2 linked regions of the Mytilus edulis genome follow. The protein of the gene in region 1 purifies or fractionates together with the protein of each later gene. This does not show direct contact. Links are inferred from orthologs where the notes say so. Each region holds a gene or a part of one and is shown on either strand. Other genes may lie near its edges.

Region 1 (11,675 bases):
TGTCCTGCAATGATAGTTACATTATTAGTTAATTTTATTGCTTTTACAGATATGTATTCATTTTAATCCTTTAATTTACTTAAACTATTTGTATTAATATATTATAATTACCTGACCAAGGATCCGGAAATTTTTTCACCTAATTTCGGTCATTTTCGGATAACTTAAAAGTTGGTGCCCTTTTTCAAACAAAGATTGTGTGTATGCTCATACAGTGATACGTGTAGCATCAACAAACTTGTTTAACTGTTGCATCGCATTTACTTCAGAAATTTCCCTACCATTTTCCTTAAAATCGATCTTGAGCAATAAAAGGAAGGCAACAGTTTAAAAATGAAATGATTTTAATGACTCAAAACGATAAATTTCTCAAACTTCGCTTACGTTTCTTTCCATTTTGAAGACAAAATTATAACCGGATGTTTTACGACAATAGTAAAACGACCAATTCCAGACTCATTTCCGGGATTAGTTTTGTTTATCAAATTCACAGGAAATCGTTGGCTTTTTAACTGTTTTACCTTTAATAGTGTTTGAATATTAATTATAATAGTTGGACTTTTTTAATTTAGCATGAAATCATTTTGAATTTACGATTTAGTGTCTAATTTTCGGAGGAGCATTTCAAGCACGTGTGTTTGTAGTGAAACAATATTTTGTTCTACGTAAATTAATTTAATTTTAATTTAATTTTAAATCAGAATTGACAATGTCTAAGGTGAGAAAAGTAATTAAATATTGCAGACAGTTGTTATGAACTTTTAATTTCTTTAAAATATTAGTTCTGAGCTTGTGATCAATAGAAAATTTAATTAAAAACACAGGTAAAGAGATTAGCGATCATTAGCCAATATTTCCACGAGGCATTACTATAGTTATTAGGAGGGCCCTCAGGATTATAACACTTTACTAGAGTGGCAGTTTTATAACAGGAAAAGGATAATAAACAAAAAATAAGTTCAAAATGGTGATTTAGACAATGTTAGAAACTCGATCTCAACGAAATGACATTAAATGACCGAAATTGTTTCTGTAAAAAAATAAAATTTGTCCTAAATCCCAATTACTCATTTAGGACAAAATACTTTCAGTTTAGGTCAAGACTGGCATATATGACCGTTTCCAGACCCTTGTACCTGACACTCTTATTCTCATTATATACATTTGACTTAGGCTAATAAGCAATCAATCTTCAAAATTGTAAACATACCGATCTATAAATATAACTTGTCAGGTCATAGAGGAAAGATGCAACTATATTTTAGCTTAATTCAGTTTTTCTTGTCACAAACAGTATGTACTAGAGATGAAGCTTAAAAATTATGTCATAATGGCTTTCTTTTCAGAAAGTTATATGATCATAGGTCACTTCATTATCATATAATATGTATATATTAGATTTGAACTCTGGTGTAAAACTTAATATTTCTTTGAAACATAAAATGTAGGTCAGAGATATAATTGGAAACATAAAACTCCCTAAGGATACATTCAATTGCATTGCTAAACAAGGATTGATATATATATATATATAAAGATTTTTTCAATAAATTTATGACAGATTCAGTATGTAGCAATAGAACTATGGTACACTTGATACTATATATACATATCAAAATATAAAATATAAATACTGTTCATACTTGAGCTAGACCTTCTGAATGTGTGCCAACCCAACATAGTTTCTACAAATGTAGTAACACATATATAATTATGAATGCTGGATTCATAAACATGTATCTATAATGAAGTACCTCTTGAGCCTTCAAATTTCTGTTTTCTGAAAACTGCACTTCATTCCATACCACTTCGACACCTTCTTCTGTGTCCATAGCAAGAAAGGCATAATCAATACCTGGAACATCACGCTGCTCTACCTACAAAAATATTTTATAGTGTGTTTAAATTAAAACATCTTTTTTAAAATCATTTAAGCATTAAAGGGGCACTAGCTATGATATATATAAAAAAATAAAGTATGATTTTTTTTAGATCAATCATTAATCGAATTAGAATAATGAAATAATAATTTGCTTTTAGCAATCAATTTTCTTTAATTTTGTTGAAATAAGCGATTAAACATAATTTTTGACTGATTCACTTGCAAGTGAAAATGTCATCATCATTCTAACCGGTATTCATGTGAACTTCAAGTTAACCCCTAGCTAGAGATTGACAACGCATGCATTGTACGTGTACTGGTTATTTAAAGAAAAAGAATGTCAACAATGAAAATGAAACTACAGTAAATCATTTGATTACTAATTCGATGCACATAAAATCATTCTTATATGATTAAAAACAATGAGAAACATCTATTTTTAATCTATAAAATGAAATCAAACAGACCTATAAAAATCCAATTGCACGTGTTGGTTTAATCTATTCGTATCTTTATTTTTGTTTACATCGCTTATTTGGTCATCTGAGGTCAAATCGATAGTTAATTAGATGGTGTCTGGACTAAAATACACACGAAACGAACCTATATATTATCTACCCCATGCTCTGTAAACTGTTTATTTTAGACTTTTGATAGTTTGGATAAATGTTTTACATGGTTATAAACCAAATATGAGAATTTGAGTCAAATCGGTTACAATGAATTTGACAGTTAGTGCCCCTTTAACATATACACAGTAACTTCATTGTATCACCACAGTTTGTTCCTAGCAATTCGTAAAAACCTTATCTGTAATGTACTATGTACATCATGTATACACAAGACTGTTTATTAAACATTGCAATTTCCACAGTATAGGTGCATGTTATCCTCAAATAAAACAGCTGAGGACTATAACTTTTGAAGAATACCACGCAACAAATATTGTGGATAGCAAGTAAAGAATCACTCTAAGTGTTTTGACATTCCACAAAGCAAAACACCACAATATTCAAACTCATTCTTTGTAAAGACAGTGATCGTGTGGAATCAGCTAGACAACACTGAAGTGCACTCATCAAGAACAGAGAGCTTCAAATCTGCTCTCACGCCAATAAATCGGTGGCAGATTCTCAAACCGTTGAATTAAAGCCAGTATTGGTATTGGCAAGGTATTCATACAGGTACAGAATGCACATTAAGTGTTGAATTACCCTGGCACTGATTAGACTTGCAGTCTATCTTATGATTTTAATCTTAATTAAATTTTACAGTCACCATAATAATACAATACTAGAATCTAGGTCCATTCGCCAAAAACATTCCAACAGATTTAGACAATTTATTATAAACAATCAATTTGCCAAATGCAGAAAGTATCAATCAACTATTAGCGGAGTACATAGAGGAAACAAACCGTTTTAGTGGATAATTTAATACAAATTTCTTTTAATTTTTAATATTTTTTAATTTTTCATGCCATTTCGATAACCTCATTAACCATTTTTTTCTTTTTTTTTCACTTGATACATTTATATAAGTCTATAATATTTTTAAAGCGCCACCTACAATATCTAAGTACAAAGGAGAAACTACACTAGTGATAATAATTTTACAAGAGAGGATAATTCACAAGAGAGATTACTCTGTCATCACGACAAAGATTGAAGATTGAAGATCAAAAACATGTTCACGCCCATTCATATTCACCCCTTTAAGGCCCTTATCACTTTGGCACTTAAATTCTATTTCGCACCCTTATGTTTTTATGTTTTTGTGTTTAATAAATTATTTTATAATGGAGTTTTGGTAAGTGTATTGCTATAGCCTCGGCTATACCATATATGGACCATAATTTGGTATTCGGCCTTTGGTTTCTTTTTGTATCCTTTTTTATAAGTTCTAAAACTTTAACTTTTATTCTGTGGGTTGTGTTGGTGTTAGAATAGTATTAATGGAACAATTGAGTTTTTCAAGAAAAAAATAATACATTTTGATTCACCGTTTACATGACAGGAAACCAAACAGAAAACCAATCTATATTTTCTTTATTTTGTACAATATATTTCAAAAGACATAAATGAACACCATTACTAGTGTTACTTGCTTCATGTTAATATTTAAAATTTATTTTCAATGTTTTTTTTAAACGCGACAGGAAACCATAAGAAACCGAAAGCATTTTTTTAGTTTTATTTTATTGCAAAATCTGCTTAAAATAGTCTGAACAGTATACTTTTTCTTAAAATCCATCTTAAATGTAACAGTATTATAAAACTCCTAAATATGTGCTTGTTTTGAAAACAATTAGTAATAAATAAATTTGGTGTATTTACTGTCTTCTGATTGGTTAAAATTATTAGTTTTATTTTCAATGTTGTCAATTTTGATGGCGACACGCCCACTCTGACGTTGTGTATTCATACGCCAACATGTGTGTACGTTAATTGTTATTGTTAATATAAATAATATAAAATGTTCCTTGAGCCTTATTTTTGATAGAAATTTATTTATAATGAATGGCAATAATTTATTTTGATTTTATTGAACCATAAAACTAATTTTTGACTCTTCACATTTTACATAATCCGCTTCGCGGATTATTCAATGTGAAGAGTCAAAAATTAGTTTTATGGTTCAATAAATTCAAAATAGATAATAGCCATTCATTAACAATTTATTCAGAAATTTCCATATTTTCTTCATTGATACAGGATACCATAATCGTTGTATCTTGATGTTTTAGCCAAAAAAATGTATTTATATTTGGTTTTGAAATTCCAGTTATATACAATTTATTCCAAATCATTGGCAATGTAAAATTCTTTAAATCCAGTAAAGAAAAAAACTTTTAACTTGGAATTAAAATCTTTAAAATAGGCACCATGTGATATTTGTGACCTGTACACCATCTACATGGTTTCCACATTTTAACCTACTTTAGTGGGCTAAAATCAATAAATTACTTCCTTTCAAGTCATGCATGGAAAAGTTTACTTCTCCTTTGACAAGTTTATTGCGTTTCTGAAAAGTGTTTGCAGAACATGAATAAAAAAAAATAATTAAAAATTGTGACAAAGATAGCAACTTTGTACACTCCAAGTGTAACGGTATATTAACATGTATTTTTTATTAAGTTATCTTTATTCACCTAAAATATCCAGTAATATTTACTGCTGAAGCAAAATCAAGCCAACGAGCATCGGCACAATGATAAGAGACGTAATGTCGATTGAATTTTCAAAGGACCCTTTACATCGTTATCAGGAAACAAAGTGTGTCATAACGTCTGTCAAATCTGAAATCGATTTTGTCAAGTCATTGGGCATTTATTTTCACACAAGATCGTATGTAACATTATGCACATAGGAAAAACAATAGACCCCCGGTGCAATCTCTTTGAAAATTGTATTTTCCTTTTTTAAACAAGACGAAACAAGTCTACAGATTATGTTTGCTAACATCCCGTTGGAAACAAAAACAATGTTTATACCTAGTATTTCATACATCTGGCCGCAAGGGCGTGATCACATGTTAGTCACATGTTTCACGTATGACCGGAAATGATTAGAACTTAACGACAAAAACAATTTTAATAAAAAAAAAGGAAATAACTGGACTTCAGTTTCGTTTGAAATGTAACGCATAACGATAACGTCATTTTCTAACTTAATTATTACGAAGAACAAAACTAGAATGTAAATCATCTCTGATTTACCTGTTTGAACATCTCGCGAGAGTTCATATTTGCATATTGTTATAAAGAATTCTATTACAACAAAGCAGATTACATCATCTAAAATTTGCGTTACGAAATTGGAAACCAAAGTAACGCTAGTGTTCTTACACCTGCTACAGAAATACTTATAGTTCTCGGCATTTTCTTCTGACTATTCTAATTGGTCGATGTTCTTTATTATTTGAAAGCAAAAGTTACGAATTTGCCGGTTATAAATCAGTCAGCGTTATGCACTTCGGAAGCGAAAAGTAACGCGAGAAACGACACAAAAATACTGTCGTATAATCTTTGAAATTTGTTAATTTCAATTTTTTTTCTAGGGAAGAGTAGCATACACTTGTATGTTGATAAAAATAAAGGCTTCTTTAGATGTAGTTACAACTTTTCTTACAGTAATACACATTTTTATCACTTTTCTATCGTTATAGGAAACGAGCCCAATAGCAAATTATGGTCCATATACATGTACATGATGTAGTACAACTGCTATGACTATTGTATTCCTTTTCCCAAATGTTAGTAATCTTGTAATACATTTAAGTGAGTGATATTTCATAGAAAAAGTTTTCAATCTGTATCAATATAAATTCTGCCAATGTAGGCACTCCTCCAAAATGAAATTATGAAGATAGTGAAGTAAATTTGATTATTTTCTTACTTCTTCTCTTCTTTTCTGCCATCTGCCACATGGCGAATATTCTAAGACTTCCCCTTCATCTTCAGACTCGTCAGCACTGTCATTTTTTTCTGGTTGTTCCTGGTCTACATCTCCCATGTCAAAGTTCTTATATGAACAAAATTTCTGATCATTCACGAAAAATTTATTTACCTTCGGAGCAGACGGAAATTGGATAGATCACAACTTCAGCAGCAAATATTAGAATAAAAATAAACAGAAATGAAAGAGTCGCGCCCTCCAGGTTATATAAAAAGGTAAAAACTTATCAATATTGTTCATGACAATGGATTCATTTTAAGTAATCCAATTTCCACCTCTTGTTTAACATATAATATTTTCGTCGGACTTGTTATTTGATCACATGACCAATGGGGAACTAACCGCGAAATACACATGTGGAAATCTGGAATGTTTACCAAAGATATTGACTAATTTAGCGACATTATGGGTGTCTATTTGTCGACGCCAAACACTGAAAAAATTTCAAGTGACGAAACATGTCAAGGTTTCAAATATGGGGCATCTTCAATGCAGGGTTGGCGAATGGCGCAAGAGGTGAAAACAACATCATCATGATCAAAAATATTATGACCCTTAAAAGTCTAAATTTCTTAGTTTTGCTTGAACGACTTCCATTGAAGAAAACAATAAAAAAAAATCCATGATAATGTCTTAAGAAATGTTGTCAAATACACTTTAAAAAGCTACATAACAGTCCATTTATTGTTTAATTAAGTCAGTTGCTTTCATTTTAACTAGGCAGTGTCTGCGCGTACCCGCATGCGGGTACGAATAGTCATATTGACGGTCTTGGCTGCGCGTACCCACATCTGGTTTTCTAGTAAAATGCTATAGGATTGGGAAATGAAATGTGAAATATATACGGAAATTATCTATAATATGGGGATTTCGTGTATAGTCGCCGTCAGCTGAAATTCGTAGCGGTTATCGGTAAAAATAATTAAACTATCAATCGCATTCACTCGAGATATAGTTTTTCACATTCCATTCATAAATCGCAAAAAGAAAAACCACTACTGACCTACCTTTTAAGTGATCACACTGTGAACAATGTAAGGCCTATCTGCCCAAAACGCTTCTGGATTTAGATCCTTTGAAATACCTTTTTTTTATGCTTATTAAATATAATGTATCCCTCATTTGGTATAGCGTCCTGCTCCGCCATCAATCCTGTTATGCAGTTTCGTCATATACTTGATGATGTTTTGCTATGTCCTACGTCAATGAAAGGACATAGATTTGAGCCAAAAATGGCCATAGAGTAAATAAAGGACATAAATGTGAAATTATACAGGACATAGATTTGGAACGTCTGACACAATATTAAATAGGACATAGATTTGAGGCCGGACATAGATTTGAGGCTTGCATATATTTAGCCATTTTCTATTATAAAAAATTACATCATACCCTGGATAAAATTAGTGTTTTGTAATCAATTTTTTTTTAAATGAAATAAGTTTGCTCAACATCCTTGACAGTCTGTTGGGTTTCAATCTTTATTGGCATTTAAAATTAGCTAATGCACGGAATTACCAGATATTTGTAGAACTGTCAAGAAGGGGGTTTCTTAATTTTTGACACAAATTTCATAAATTCTTATAGTTGATATTCATCAAGGTTTCTTGAAATTAAATTATGTTGTGAATTTTTTTCCACTATAATAATTGTTTATTGGGTTTTTTTTAAGTGAAAGGTACATGGATACACAGGATGTACCACAATCTTTTAATTGTGGGATTATTAGGGCCCCGCCTTCAGGCGGGTCGCCCTATAGTGATCAGTCTGTCCGTCCGTCCGTCCGAATCTAGAGAACCATTATGATTTCATTCTTTATACTTTACATGTTTATTAACCACCACCAGAGGGCGTGTCATGATGTATATACAACTTCCTAGGTCAAAGGCGGGTCGCCCTATAGTGATCAGTCTGTCCGTCCGTCCGTCCGTCCGAATCTCGAGAACCATTATGATTTCATACTTTATACTTTACATCTTTATTAACCACCACCAGAGGGCGTGTCATGATGTATGTACAACTTCCTAGGTCAAAGGCGGTTCGCCCTATAGTTATCAGTCTGTCCGTCCGTAACACTTTAACTTTGTGTCCGCTCCATATTTAGAGAACCATTATGATTTCATACTTTATACTTTACATGTTTATTAACCACCACCAGAGGGCGTGTCATGATGTATATACAACTTCCTAGGTCAAAGGCGGGTCGCCCTATAGTGATCAGTCTGTCCGTCCGTCCGTCCGTCCGAATCTCGAGAACCATTATGATTTCATACTTTATACTTTACATCTTTATTAACCACCACCAGAGGGCGTGTCATGATGTATGTACAACTTCCTAGGTCAAAGGTCAAGGTAAAAAAACTTTGGTTTCAGTTGACAACCCTGTGTCCTGTGGTGAAGATCGTGTTCGCTCTATATCTTGAGAGCCGTTATGATTTCAAAGTTTATACTTGACATGTATATGAACCAACAACAGAGGGTGTGTCATAATTTATGAACGACTGTCTAGGGCAAAGTTAAAAGTCAAAAACTTTGGTTTCAGTTGACAACCCCATGTCCTATGGTAAAGATCGTGTCCGCTCTATATCTTGAGAACCGTTATCATTTCAAAGTTTATACTTGACATGTATATAAACCAACACCAAAGGGTGTGTCATAATTTATTTACAACTTCCTAGGTCAAAGGTCAAGGTCAAAAACTTTGATTTCAGTTGACAAACCCATGTCCTATGGTAAAGATACAATTTTTTAATGCACATTATTCACAGCGGGGCCCACAGAGATGGCTCCCATCTCAATGATATCTAGTTTCTTTTAATCTCCATTAATTGCAAATCAACTTTTTAAAGCCATTTATTTGTTATATATATATTTGGGGTTCATTAATTTAACAGCTTGTAATTTGATAGGTACATTACACATGTGCGAAATTTTGAAAATTTCATTTGCCCCAAAAATATATACTGATTTTGTTTTAAAAACAGGAAAATTTAATATTCAGCTGTTTCCTGAATTTCTGAAATTTTGTAGGTTAAAGTATTCCCCTGGATAAGTTACTTCGTTTAAACCTCTTTTTTTATTACTTGGTTTTAATACAGACAACTGCTGTGAAAAGTTAGGGTCGGAGGAGGTAAAAAAAATCAATCCTTTTTAAGCCCACCCAAATTTGTACTTGATCTAAAAACTAAACTCATAATAATCCTGCATTTTATTGGTCACTTTTGGTTGACTAATAATTAAAATTTTAAAAAAGCTAATATTTAAAGAAGTCCAAATTCATCACTAGAACTGGTATCTTATTTCTTCCTAATGCCAAAGCACTCATAATAAGAAACAATAAAAATTTGTAATAAAAATAATAGTCCCCAATTTATCACTAGAACTGGTACATAACATCTTCCCAATGATGATCAAATTGTATTTTAAAGTTATCAACGATCTTTGCAGACACAACTTTTTCGGGTAAACTATTCCGATGGTTTATATTATAATATTCGTTGGGGAAAATGTCACTTCTTATTTATAATTTTTTTCGTAAAAAGCATTGTAAATATTGATCTGAGACTGAGAGTGTCTGTAAGGATATAAGGGCATGAAGGGGGGATATCAAAGATTGAGAACAATGTTTTATTCAATGGCACGTAGGTTTCAGGGGAGTGAAACACACGTTTATGTAATTAGTCTGCATCATTTGAAAGTTTTATTTGGAATGCGTCGTTCATGACAACAACAGAATTTAACACAAAACAAAACTTTTTGAAACTCCTTAGATTATTTTTTTACTGCACTCGAAAATTCAGGTCGGCGGAATAAAAACAACATGAAATCTAAAATTTTTATTTTATTTCACTTTTAGACAAAATCAGGTCGACAGATCCGTAAACCAACTTATAAAAAATAAAAAAGCCTTATATTCTTTTCTCATACTAAAATGAGAGTCATTGATAAGTAAACAAATGTATAGTGTTCACATGTTCAAGGTTACAAGATAAACACAACTTATTGAATAGTATTTAATTTGATTAATGATATATATATGTTTTAATATGCTATCAAAACTATGTTGTTACATTATCATTATCATATATATATATATACATGTATATATCTGTTGTAGAGTTGACACTGGTTCAGACGTACTTATAAATATAATTATTTCTGTGACTGTATCTTACGTTAATTTGTAGGATCCTTTATCATAGATAATTTAGCTGATCTGTAACAATAACATCTTCATGCCTTATATATCATCATCATGTACTGTATTACGACACTAGATTAAAACCGACGAGGAAAGGTAACACCAGGCACCTGAAGGCTTCAATATTTATGAAGCCCAGGTGGTTGTTAGGTCTAGTGCGCCGGATACAGTGCAGGTGATTTGGTGTCTCGATATCTCAGAAGCATGGGTTCAAATCCCGGCGAGGGAAGAACAGAAAATTTGCGCAAGCAAATCTAAAGATCTAACATTGTTGGGTTGATGTTTAGACGAGTTATATATATATATATATATATAGAAGCCCAGGTGGTCGTGTGGTCTAGTGGAACGGCTGCAGTGCAGGTGATTTAGTGTCACGATATCTCAGTAGCATGGGTTCAAATCCCGGCGAGGGAAGAACAAAAAAATTGCGAAAGCAAATTTACAGATCTAGCATTGCTGGGTTGATGTTTAGACGAGTTGTATATATATACAAGTCTAAATTGAAAACTCCGTTCAAACCTATGATTGCGTTGGATAAAAACCGCAATTTTTATACACATGTGCATGTAAAACAAATTTCGTTGTAGAAGGGTCTAAATACAGCACAAACAACATTATCCAAAAGACCAAAGAAGTGAAAAAGTATATTTAAAATAGACGCATTTGACTAACAGGTCGAACAACTGATGTTCTTAAACCCTGCTGACTGTCATTGGTGATTGCCAAATAAAATTGATCACGAGATGTAACAAAATGGATCTTATATATATTCCTCAAGAGTCTCTTCTCGATAAATATTCTAGATGTCTTGATTTTGTGTTTTTGGGAAAATTAGACCATCCATATTTAATTCTATTTTTTTTTGTAGGATGCTCATAACTGTTTACTGGAGTTTGATGAAAATACAGCTCTATTTGCAGTTTATGATGGTCATGGAGGTAATTATAAACTGAACAAATCCTGTATTGAGATACTTTTAAGTATAATTTGTGCAGAGAATCACAACTAATTCCTTTTTATACAAAATAAAACACGAAAGGTTATTTTTGATTCTGTCAGTCATGATATTGGAGCTCAACAGAGGAGTGTAAATTTTTTCTAGTATTTTATGAGAGACGCAGAATAATCAAAACTT
Region 2 (11,380 bases), on another chromosome or scaffold:
GGCTATGGGTTTTGTAACGACGTGCGTTAACCAATCAAAATCCTAGATATATACTAAGCCGGGGATAAATCGTCCATACCGCCACATCGTCCATGGGACGTATCGGCCATACCTTGTGAGACGTATCGTCCACACTTTAATTTTTTGTTATTGAGGTTATAACATAAAGTATAATAATAAAATAAGTATGCATTCATAGTAATAACATAAATATGATGTGATATAAAGGCATCTTATAATAATAATAATAATAATAATAAATTCTTTATTTAAAGAGGGTAACTCAATTAGAAATAGTCTAATTTTCATTGAGGCCCTCAAACAAAATACATGCATACAGTTAACATTCATACATTCATACATTAATTTACAATATATATTACTAGTATATACACAATTCAATCATTGAAATATACAAAGGGTAATAAATGACAATATTTGATATAGTTTTGTTAGAGGAAAACAAATTAGTTGACTTGCATATAATTTTCAAGAAATATATTTTATATGAAGTTGAAACTATAGGAGTTGACTGCCGCTGTCGATGACGATATATATAAATACAAATTACAAGCACATGTTACCGATCTTTTTATTATATCTGTAAAAGGTATATTATTCTAAACAAATCTGTGATGATTTTATAGTCTACTTTTACGAGTCAAAAGATTTGTAGAGAAAATCAGTCTAAGTGAAATTTCAAACAGTACTCAGTGTAAAGGTTAACTCTACGGAAGGCAATTCGAGTTATATTTGTCCTGATCATCATATATATAGTTTAATAATTCTGTGTTTTTCTTCTTTCTTATAGTTTAGAGTCATTCCTAATAACATGATAAATTATGGTTTCAGGAATGTTCGTATTGCTTTGTTCATTGTCACGGTTGAATACTGTTTTTTTGACGATTTAGATGTTCCCCTTTTTGTGCATTTGTTGATGGAGACATGTATTATGGACTGTCTGAAGCTTATGGACAATCATACCAATATAGTATAAGAAACACAAAAAGATAATATTTTCGTTTAATATATTTTATTTATTCATTCAGTCATACAGACAAACAAATATACAACACACATATAAACCATACAGCATACACCTTCACGTTAATAATTGTAAATTTGTTTGATAATTGGTTGGCAATCACGTAAACTAATTAAAGGATTAACACCTCCGAAATTTGTAAACTGAATTTGCATTAAACAGATCAGTACTAGAGATACGCGTCCAATGATTGGATTAATATGATTTATGATGGGTTTTTGTATATGTAATCATACATAATCATAAATAACGGTCTGATCCCTTTGGCATAACAGTACTTATTCAAAGTAATAGTCAACCTCAGGAAATGAAAAAAATCTTCCCAATTTAGCATTTGCAGGAGAAATACTGATATCGGTAACAGGATAGACAAAAAGGTAACCCTTGAGGCAAGTGAGGCAATTGCCTCACTAAAATTTCGACACTGATTATTTTTTTTTTATACATATATATAAATACTAGAACACACCCGCGAAATCGCGGGGAAATAGAGCGTATGTAAACTGTAAAAAAAATATACTGACTGGAGAATTTCAGGAGAGGTATCAAAATTCAAAGGTACTTAGGGACTGGGCACATTTTTTTGCCCTCCTCCTATTTTCCAAATACAGATTTTTATACCTTCTGTTTTTCTGTACTCTATGAACATGCATATATACTTTAATTACTCAATACAGAGAATTTCAGGAGAGGTATCAAAAGTCAAAGGTACTTATATACATATGGGGTGGGGGGGGGGGTGGGGGGCTGCCCCCCATTTCGTTGAAAAAAGATTGTAGATTATATGGGGAAACATGAGAGTAACCCCCCCCCCCCCTTATGTCAGTCAACGCCCCCCCCCCCCCCCCCCTCCCTTATGAAAAGTTCTGGATCCGCCACTGTAAACTAATTGATAGTAAATAGCAAATATTATTCATTTTCGTTTTCCTCCCAAAATAACCCAAACTGAAACACGTTAAGCAAGGATGATACATGCTAGATCTCAAAATGATAGCAGAAAGCAAATTCATATACTTTATTTCATAGTCTTTGTATGTTCGAAGTACAGAAAAACACAAACCGGAAGTCTAATCTGACTTAAAGTTTTGTCCAATGACGGGAAAATATCCGGACGCATTCTTTTTCGTTTTTTATCCCAAAATAACCCAAACTTAATGATCATAAGAATGGATGACAAATGCGACTATACATGTTACCTATAGGACACAGAGGCATGATGATTATTTTCTTGTGAAAGGAGGAGAAGCGACACCAAAAATGAGGTCTTCTCGTTTAATAGTATAGATAATAGTCATTTGTTGTTCTGTCTCAACCTTAATTGCTATAACTTGTCATCATTCCTTTTAAACTATTCTTCCTGGATATAACTCAGCATCTCAACGGGTGATGTTTCTCGGTAACATTAATCTAGTAACGATAATCATCATGGATCTTTAGTTAAAAACAGGCTCTTGCAGAAAAAGGAAAAGCGACACTGAAGGTAAAGAAGGAATAATTCTAGTAAACTAGTTTTTTTTTTGTGAACAGAGTCTGAGTATTGCATATAACTTCATTAGAACAATCCAAAAACGATAAGTAGACTGACAAATCAAGTAGTGGTCTTCGGAAAGGGGCAGTCCTGTCTGCGTATTCATTTCTCCGTTTCACCAACTTTTGACAAATCAAGTACTGGGCATCGCAAGGGGGCAGTGCTATCTGCGTATTCATTTCACGAACTTTAATCTTTCTCTTTACAGATAAATAAAATATAAATAATATGAAACATGAATGCATGGATTAGTTTTTATCCATGTTTCTTTAACCTTAAAAATTGAAAGAATATCCCATATTATTGAGGAATGGTAGAACCTTATTAAATTAATTAAACACAGGATTTGTCTTTACTTATTCGGGACTACGGAATTTCGTTTCTTTATATTCGGGGTTTCGGAATCGGACACCCCAACCCCTAACCCCTAAATTTATAGATTCTGGAACTAAAATACCACCAACTATTTCCAGAAATAATTTGAAATTACGGAACTACATGTAAACGTCAAAAACTCCATTCCAATTTCCCTGTACCCATATCATATATACTTACTCTATAGATAGAATCATATACATGTATGTTATCTCATTCTATCCCTAGTTTGTCTACTCTTTGTCAGCATAAAAGCGAGTTTAATATTTTGTAACTGCGACTGATGGTGCTTACAGGAAAGCTTAATTCCCTTTTGCAAACAAAAGCTGCTACCGAATTGCTGATGGAGAAGGAATTGGAAGAAGACATTGATCATTGTGTTGATGATAATGTGCTACTTTTAGGAACACAGACTGCCCTGAAACGACTGAAAACTTGGAAAAGAGCGAGAGATTGTGCGGTCTTGCCATGCTCCATGTTCATCGCGATAAGGATATCAGAAGACCAAATTATGATTCTAAAACGATTTGACTGAACCGGCCATAGAAAAATTTGACAAACTCTTCTGAATCTATGTTTGTTCTATGTTCTGGCAGCAGACTCAAATCAGTGATATTTGGATTATTATCTTACATATAAATTTACATAAAGTTGTTAAAAATTTGGTGTTAGTAAAAGTCTTAAAATATGAAAAATTTATATAAAAAGTGTCCAATTCAAAACATTATCAAACTCTCTAAAAATGCCTAGAATGCAGGATTTTGCACCATTCATTTCATACCCTCCTCACTAAAATAAGATGCCTAGTTACGGCCTCGGTAACAGGATAGAACTTTATATATAGTGATATATCATTAACGTACCAATGAAATACAGACAAAAGTAAACTAACATGTGAGGGATTTACTTGATGTTCGGTTTCTTTGCAAGAGAGAAAAAATGCCGAACAATATGAAATGCTATCTAAGACTTGCATTACTGGTGGTAATTTGTTTAAACCTTTGAAAACCAATTTTCCAAAGTTGAAATTAATAAATCGAAATCTGGAGTACAAAAAGACAAAGTATTGTCATCTGCACAGTTATATAAACTACCATTTTTAACAAAAAGAAAAATATCATTTATAAATATGTTAAACAACAATGGCCCTAGTATCGAACCATGTGGTACGCCTTTATGGATGTCAGTCCAACCACTCAGAACATGCCTTGCTTTTAATAGCTAATTGTCTATTGGCAATATTATATTCAACAGAGTTTTTGTTCGCTACACTGTTTCTAAAAGTACATAACATTCGCTTATGAACAACAGCTTCAATTGGGATCTGACCTAGTAACAATAGAGTACCAGTATTAGCAGTTCTTTCTGGTAGGTGCTGTATTTGTTTCATGAGTTTAATGAAATAAGTACTAAGGTTTTTAATATCTTTTGCTGACAGACAAATCACATCCAATCCATACAATAACCTTGGGATTACATAACAGTTAATGAGATGAAGAGACACTTTTGGATTCATACCATTAAGGCCATGGAGGCCTGCGCCCATTAGAGCATAGACAGTTTTGCGTGCAGTTTGAATTCTGTCGGGTACAACTTCTTTTGTGCCAGTTTTTGACCCATTATCTCGTTTACTACGTAATGTATGTTTGCACTCCGCTTGAACTCTGAGTCTCAGCTTGGGTGCTGTATTTTTATAGTGATCTCGAATTAATATATTATATTTCCTTTATAATTTCTTGACAAAAGCATAATTAATACTTGTGTTCATCAAAGGAGTAATAATAAGCAATTAACAACCTTCTTTCGGAGGATTTAACAAAATTAAACATGATAGATAATGTAAAAACAGTATAGTTTATTCAAAAGTTATAATAACCATCTATAAGTATCAAAATAATTCATATATAACATCTATAAAAAATAAAAATAAAAAACCATGGACGATACGTCTTTACAAAGTATGGCCGTTTTTGTCGTGTGGCCGTTTCATCTTTTCGGGGTATGACCGATACATCCTGTGGACGTCATGGCAGTATGGCTGTCACGTCCTGCATCGGTGGACACCCGTGTTAGGTCGAGGGAAGCACGTGCATCAATATTTACTGTACATCGGGCATGGGTTCTCAGTATGTCATGGGGTGCAGTTTAATTGTTTTTCGCTTTCATGAAGAACCCACCCAGACTTATATAGATCAAGCAATTGTATGTTCAAATATACAGTTCCTTTTTTCAATACATTTCTAACCGAATTGATGTAATTTTAAAATCTTAAATAAATCTTCTAAATGTTTATGGCCCTTGACCAAAGAAAATGTAATTCTTATGTAAAAACTGGGCTGTTATATTGGTGACTGTTTTGAATTAAGGAGATCAGGTATGAGTATTGACACTAAAAGTCAAGTTAATGAGGGGGATAGGACCTTTATCGGTACTCCGGGATCGGGTGTTTTTAAGCTCGGGATTTCGTGATTGACCCCTTCGGGATCCGGGAATTCTTTTTTTCGAATTTCGGGACCTCGGGATTTTGTGTTTTTAAGCCCGGGATTTCGGGATCTGGTGTTTTTAAGTCCGGGATTTCGGGATCAGGACCCTCCTACCCTCCCTCGTTAATGATTTGAGAATGAATATAATGTAAAAAAAAATCTTTTATTCACAATAAATATATGGTTTTTGGCTTGATTTTGACCAATGCTAATATACAGTTTCTACTAAATATGTATTTATATCATGTACTCTGTGACTTTTATTGTTGTACTGACGGTTACCAATTATAATCAATTGTATCTGATTTTATGCCCTTAATGGGCCCTGTTATTTGGGAAATAAAAATATTCCGTATTCTATTCTATAGATGCAGGAACATATATATTATGTTAGATATACTGTTCCCAGATAGATGTCAGATGAATATTGTATTCTCATGCAGGCCATGCAGACTCCGGTCGAATTAAGGGCATAAACAAAGTGACGTCAATATAGTTCAAGATTAAAAAATAACATTCAATAAAATCAAGTAATATGAATCATTTAATTGTATATTTATGTTCAATACTGTCTGAGAAAGCTGGGAACAGTTTGTTAACAACTTTATGTTCCTGGAGAAAATAATTCAGTATTGTTCCAACCCGAGATTTTTTTTTTGGAAACTTTAGAATCAAATAATTTGAAATACACAAGATGACTGATGGGTGCTCTTAGACAGGTTACAGGCAATTGATATCATTCGATTGAGGCAGGGACTTTCTATACTATAAGTCCCTGATTGGGGGAATGAAAAAAATTGGCGAAACTGCAAGCTTGCAAGTAGATAGTATTCATTTTTTGGCGGGAAAATGTTTTGGCCGAATCACATTTCTTGTCGGATACATAAAATCTATTTATTATTTTTGGTAGTTAAAGTCGAAATATACCTTTTATTGTTATTCTCATTGTATTTTGAAATTCAAACAATGTCAAGTGATTCCTTTTTTTTCGAGTTTTTTTACAGTCAACTGCAAAAATAAGAAAGGATGTGAAATAGTTCATTCTGAAATAAACCTTAATTTGGTTGGATACATTTTGCAAGAATTCTGCAAATAGTTCATTTTCGTCCAATGAAAACAAGCCTTTTAAAATACCTCGGCTGACTTCTGCCGGCAAACCTTCTCTTCGCCATCTTGGATTATCACGCTTCCCACATGGGAACTGGCTGACCGGCCAATTTAAAGAAATTTCAGGAACGAGCAGAATATATAAACACATTTTTACACTGTAGACATCAAGATGGACCTTGTTAGCATTTTAGAGAAAACAATTTCGCCTGGTAATTCACTTTTTTCCACATTCATTCATTCACCAGTTGACATTGTTCACATATTTTCTCGCGGACTGCATGGGATTCTGAATATATTTTAATGTCTTTTTATTTTGTCAACATTCACTTGTTGCTTATGAAAAGATCGGAGATGTTTATTTTTCTTAAAAGAATCCATCACATAACCTGAACTAGACTGATCAACGATAAAAAAAAAACGAACACCATACTTTGTGAAATGCCAAGTAGCAAAATTGTCCATTGTATCTATTTTGAATATCAGCAGTTGAAAATGATCAATAAGGTTAAGCTTTATTTGAAGATATATGGCTATTATACCTCAGAAACAGTTATCACTAACAAAATCACGATTTTGATTTTTAAATGAACTGTACTGGTTGACCTGTATGTGATCATGAAAGGTCATTAAGGTTTATGTGGACCCTATGGCTAAAATGGCCGTATTTTCACCTCAAAATTTACTCTGAGTACAGACAAACCTGTGCATCTGTAAAAAATTCCAGGCATAGCATGCCCTAGATAAATAAATTTCAAATTTGTTTTAGAAAAATAAAAACTTACCAGAATTTTGCCGTGCACTTTTTTCATTCCTCCAGAAGGTGCCAAAATAAACTAAGTTGGGAAACAGGTTTGAGAACTTCCCCACAGGTAATAATTGAAGTGAGCTGTATTGCTTGACATGGACATGAGATGGACAATAGATACCTAACAATAATTGGTCATTTAAAGTGTGTACCTGAGTGGACCATATCAAGGTAAACTCAACTGTTAATTTTATCATCTTCTGCAGGGACGAAAAAAAGTGAACGGCAAATTCCAGTTAAGTTGTGAATTTTCTAATTCATACAATGCATTTGAATTCTATTTATCTAGGGCATGCTATGCCTTAAAACTTTTTCAGATGCACAGGTTTGCCTGTACTCAAGAGTAAATTTTGAGGTGAAAATACAGCCATTTTAGCCATAGGGTCCACATGAACCTTAATCATTGTAACTTGAAGATATTTTATTTCTGAAGTTAAAATTCTTAGTAGAAAAAGCACCAATTAGAAGTAATATATTTTCAGATATAATATTTGTTGACATGTACGAAGACACCTGCACAACTTCAATTTTGGAGGCCACTGTCTTGTTTTCAGTTTTATTTATGTAAACTATGGTCGATTCATTTGAATAGTTGTGCAATGACGGCATATTACATATAATGAAAAATCCTGGTACTAAATTTCTCTGTTAGTATCTGATGACGATATTTATTTAGCCTATTGTAGCCAGTTCTGAATTCAGACATGATTCTCCTAATAGTTTGGTTTCGGGTAATCAAGTTGATGGGTCTTGCCTACAATAGGAACTTATTCGTGTAGTTGTCTCCCAGTTTCACTTCTAGTCCATCTATTTTGCCATTTTAGTTTGGTTGACATCTTTACTGTGCTTTTTACATCAGACGTGGTTATGAAGTTTTACTGGTCATTTAGATTTGAGGCCTCCTGTGCTGCATCTTTTGCTAACTGGTCCGCTATCTCATTCCCGGCTATATTAGCATGGCCTGGGATCCAAGATAGGGTAGTTTGTATACTGCCTCTCAGGATGGTCCCAATGCTTTCTTTCATGTCTGTAATAGTGTCTGTATAGTTCGATAACTTCCAGTTGAGAGTCAAGATGCCAACCGCTGTCTGGCTATCTGATATGATCTTTATTTCAGTGAACTGTTCTCTAAGTGTGTAAATGCAGTGTTCTAGGACCATAAGGATAGCTATGAGTTCCGCTAAGAGTATTGAACCTCTTCTAGCTACTGGTCTTTTTAGGCTAGTTCCTTGTTGGTTCTCAGTATATATAACTGCTCCTGCTCCACAAGGTCGTGGATTTCCCTGACAGGAGCCATCTGTAAATGCGATAGCTGTTGACTCGGAGTTTTCTCCCATAAGTTTTTGTACTACTTGTTTGCTTTGGGCAGTTTGCTCTGCAGTTCTGTTTTTAGAGCTTCCAAAACAACTCGCAGTAGCTTGGTGCTCTCATCAGCATAAAGTCTACTCCTGCCTTGTACAGGGATCTCCATGGATGGAAATTGAACGATGGAGGAACTTTCACCATTACAAACCGTGTCTACGCTGTACAGTGTAGCGCGATTGGAAGTATTTTATCCCTCCATACAAGGAATGGTGAACATGCTAATTCATTGCTTATGTAAATTATTTGAATTTTCATTATAGAATTAGAAGTATCAATATTTTCATTTATTGCCGTTTTTAACCATTCAAATGCCAAGTCTTCATGGACCCCCTTAGTCAAGAATGACCAAAAGCTGTCATGAAGGTCCCCATGTAGATTTCTTGTATTTTTGGTAATTGTTATGGGGGTTAAAAATCATATGATGTGGAGCTTATTTTTCATGGACACTGTTAAATTCAGAACCCATTACCGGTATGGCTGATTTGCAGCACCAACAAAACGATTCGTACGGGTTATTTAAAGGGTTAAAGAGATTTGTAAAGCAAACATTGACAAATGAAAAGGTTTTTTAATGACTTTATCTGGCAAATTGATGTTGTGCAACATGCATCTTTCGAGTCTGAATAGAAACCGGAAACGCGGATGTATCAATTTGATTGTAACATACGAAATGAATTTGGAATTACTATACGATATTTCTTTACAGGAAATATTTAAGTTTTTTACTTTTAAACTTTTAAAGAAATTCTAAATTATCGTTACAGCAGGACTCGAGTTATTTGCGATGAAATAATATTTACTGTTTTGCATCTTATTTTGTAATTCTTAAAAAAGGGGGGATACTGATTGCGTAAGTCAAAATAAAGCACGTGTTCGACTTGTTAAACTGTTTTCTTTGTAACTGGATTATTAATTTATTTATTTAATCTAAATTATCATAATCATTTGCTGAAACTTAGTTGATTAATTCGACAAATGGATCGTCTATCCTCAGATAGTATTTTGTCTGGTTTGTTGATCTACCTCTACAAGCTCAGGTACAAGTGATTCGCGATCTTGATCCGGATATCCCTCAGGCGTCAGAACTGTATTATAACATAAAAGGTCTAAGGGTTATTCATGCAATTACATGCATTTGATTATAATTGATAAAAAAAATGGCGTCTGGCTTTAAAAAACGATGAAGTTTTGAACGATGGCGCAAGACAATTTAACGATGGCGCGAGTCATTTGAACGATGGCGGGTCGCCATCATTAAACAGGCCATGGAGATCCCTGCTTGTAGGTAAAACTCTGGTTCTATCAGTTTTATGTCTACTTTTGTTGTTATTAGCATATCCATAGCCTGATTAATAGCCTTACCAAATGGAGATTCTTGGTGCTCATATGTATCAGTGTTGGTAAGATATTCCTCCAGCTGTTGTTTAATTGGTTCAGCTATATTTTTGGAATGATTTTTTGCTATTCTTGGACTGATATTTTTTCCATTTCAGAGATCGATTGGTTGCATATTCTTGGGCATTATTTAACAGGTTGGAGACATTCTCCATGAATATCAGAATGTGTGATTTTAATAAAATAAACTGTTCAGAAAACCTTTTTTTACCACATTTGGGGAATAGTTAATTGTCCCCCAACCTGCAGTGATATTGTTGTCTTTTTTCAAAACTACCTCTATCGTTTTTTATTGGGGGAAAATGCATATTTTTTATTGAAATTTTGAAATTTGTTTATTTTATTCTAAACACATCTCTGATATTTTGCTGACCTTTGCTGTCTTTTTTTGCACTGTTTTTTCATGTATATTTTGGTTGTCAAACAGACGCAATGATGGTACTTAATGCATTGAAAACCACATGTGTTACAAACACCATGATGATTCTGATCAGAAATCTGGATCTCAAAAGTGCTTTCTATTATCATAATAATGACATGAATACGATATTTACAAACATTACCCTAATGCCATCACTGTTTTGGGAAAATGTAAAACTTTTTGTGAGTAATTTTAAGCCATTTTTTTAGTTATTGGAAATTTTCTCTAGGGGAAAAAGCCGAATTTCGGCTGTAATTTGAGGCAAACAATATCACTGACCTGTTAAACCATTTTCAATTGAAATTTTTACATCTTCAGATAAAATTTTCCTTGTAAATCAAATGCTTATAATTAGATATATATCATGTATATAGAAAAACAAAATATATCCATCAATGACTCAAAATCAATACATCATCATGCACAACAAAAAGAGTCCAAAAAGTTTGCTGCTGTTTGTGATGTAAATGAATATAAGTCTGATCCAAGACACTTAGCTATAGACCTCAGGCAATTGACTAAAAAAAATTATAAACCTTAATAAAACACAAGATACTTAACTCTCGAAATTTTTCACTCAATTAAATCAAAATTGATGGGTTAAAAAAACATTTCTTGAATTCTTATAACTGGAGCTCTGTTATGTCATGTGTTCTGAATATTATGCATACATATACATGTATCTAACTTGTGAGATTTGAAGTGATGATTATGCAGAAATGGAACAAGGAAAATAGTGAAGTAATTTGTGTCCATAATGGCAATAAGAAGTTTCTGAAGTGAATTTATTATTTCATGATTACAGGTTGATGACAACTGGAAATAGTTCCATACACTTATGTTTTTGTAAAAA

What was found.
Region 2: the proteins of protein phosphatase 1G-like (region 1) and importin subunit beta-1-like purify together in Homo sapiens (affinity purification with mass spectrometry; 3 studies listed by BioGRID and IntAct, with this or other methods). This does not show direct contact. The link is inferred for Mytilus edulis from reciprocal best matches to the Homo sapiens genes PPM1G and KPNB1.

The regions. Positions count from the first base shown.
Region 1 is NC_092344.1:110,067,708-110,079,382, reverse strand, and holds the start of protein phosphatase 1G-like, read left to right. Parts: upstream 1-6,639; 5' UTR 6,640-6,744; coding exon 6,745-6,855; intron 6,856-11,408; coding exon 11,409-11,478; intron 11,479-11,675. Other genes in the region: nuclear receptor-binding protein-like, read right to left, coding at 1-4, 1,755-1,877, 6,280-6,396.
Region 2 is NC_092357.1:50,291,081-50,302,460, forward strand, and holds the start of importin subunit beta-1-like, read left to right. Parts: upstream 1-6,574; 5' UTR 6,575-6,710; coding exon 6,711-6,750; intron 6,751-11,380.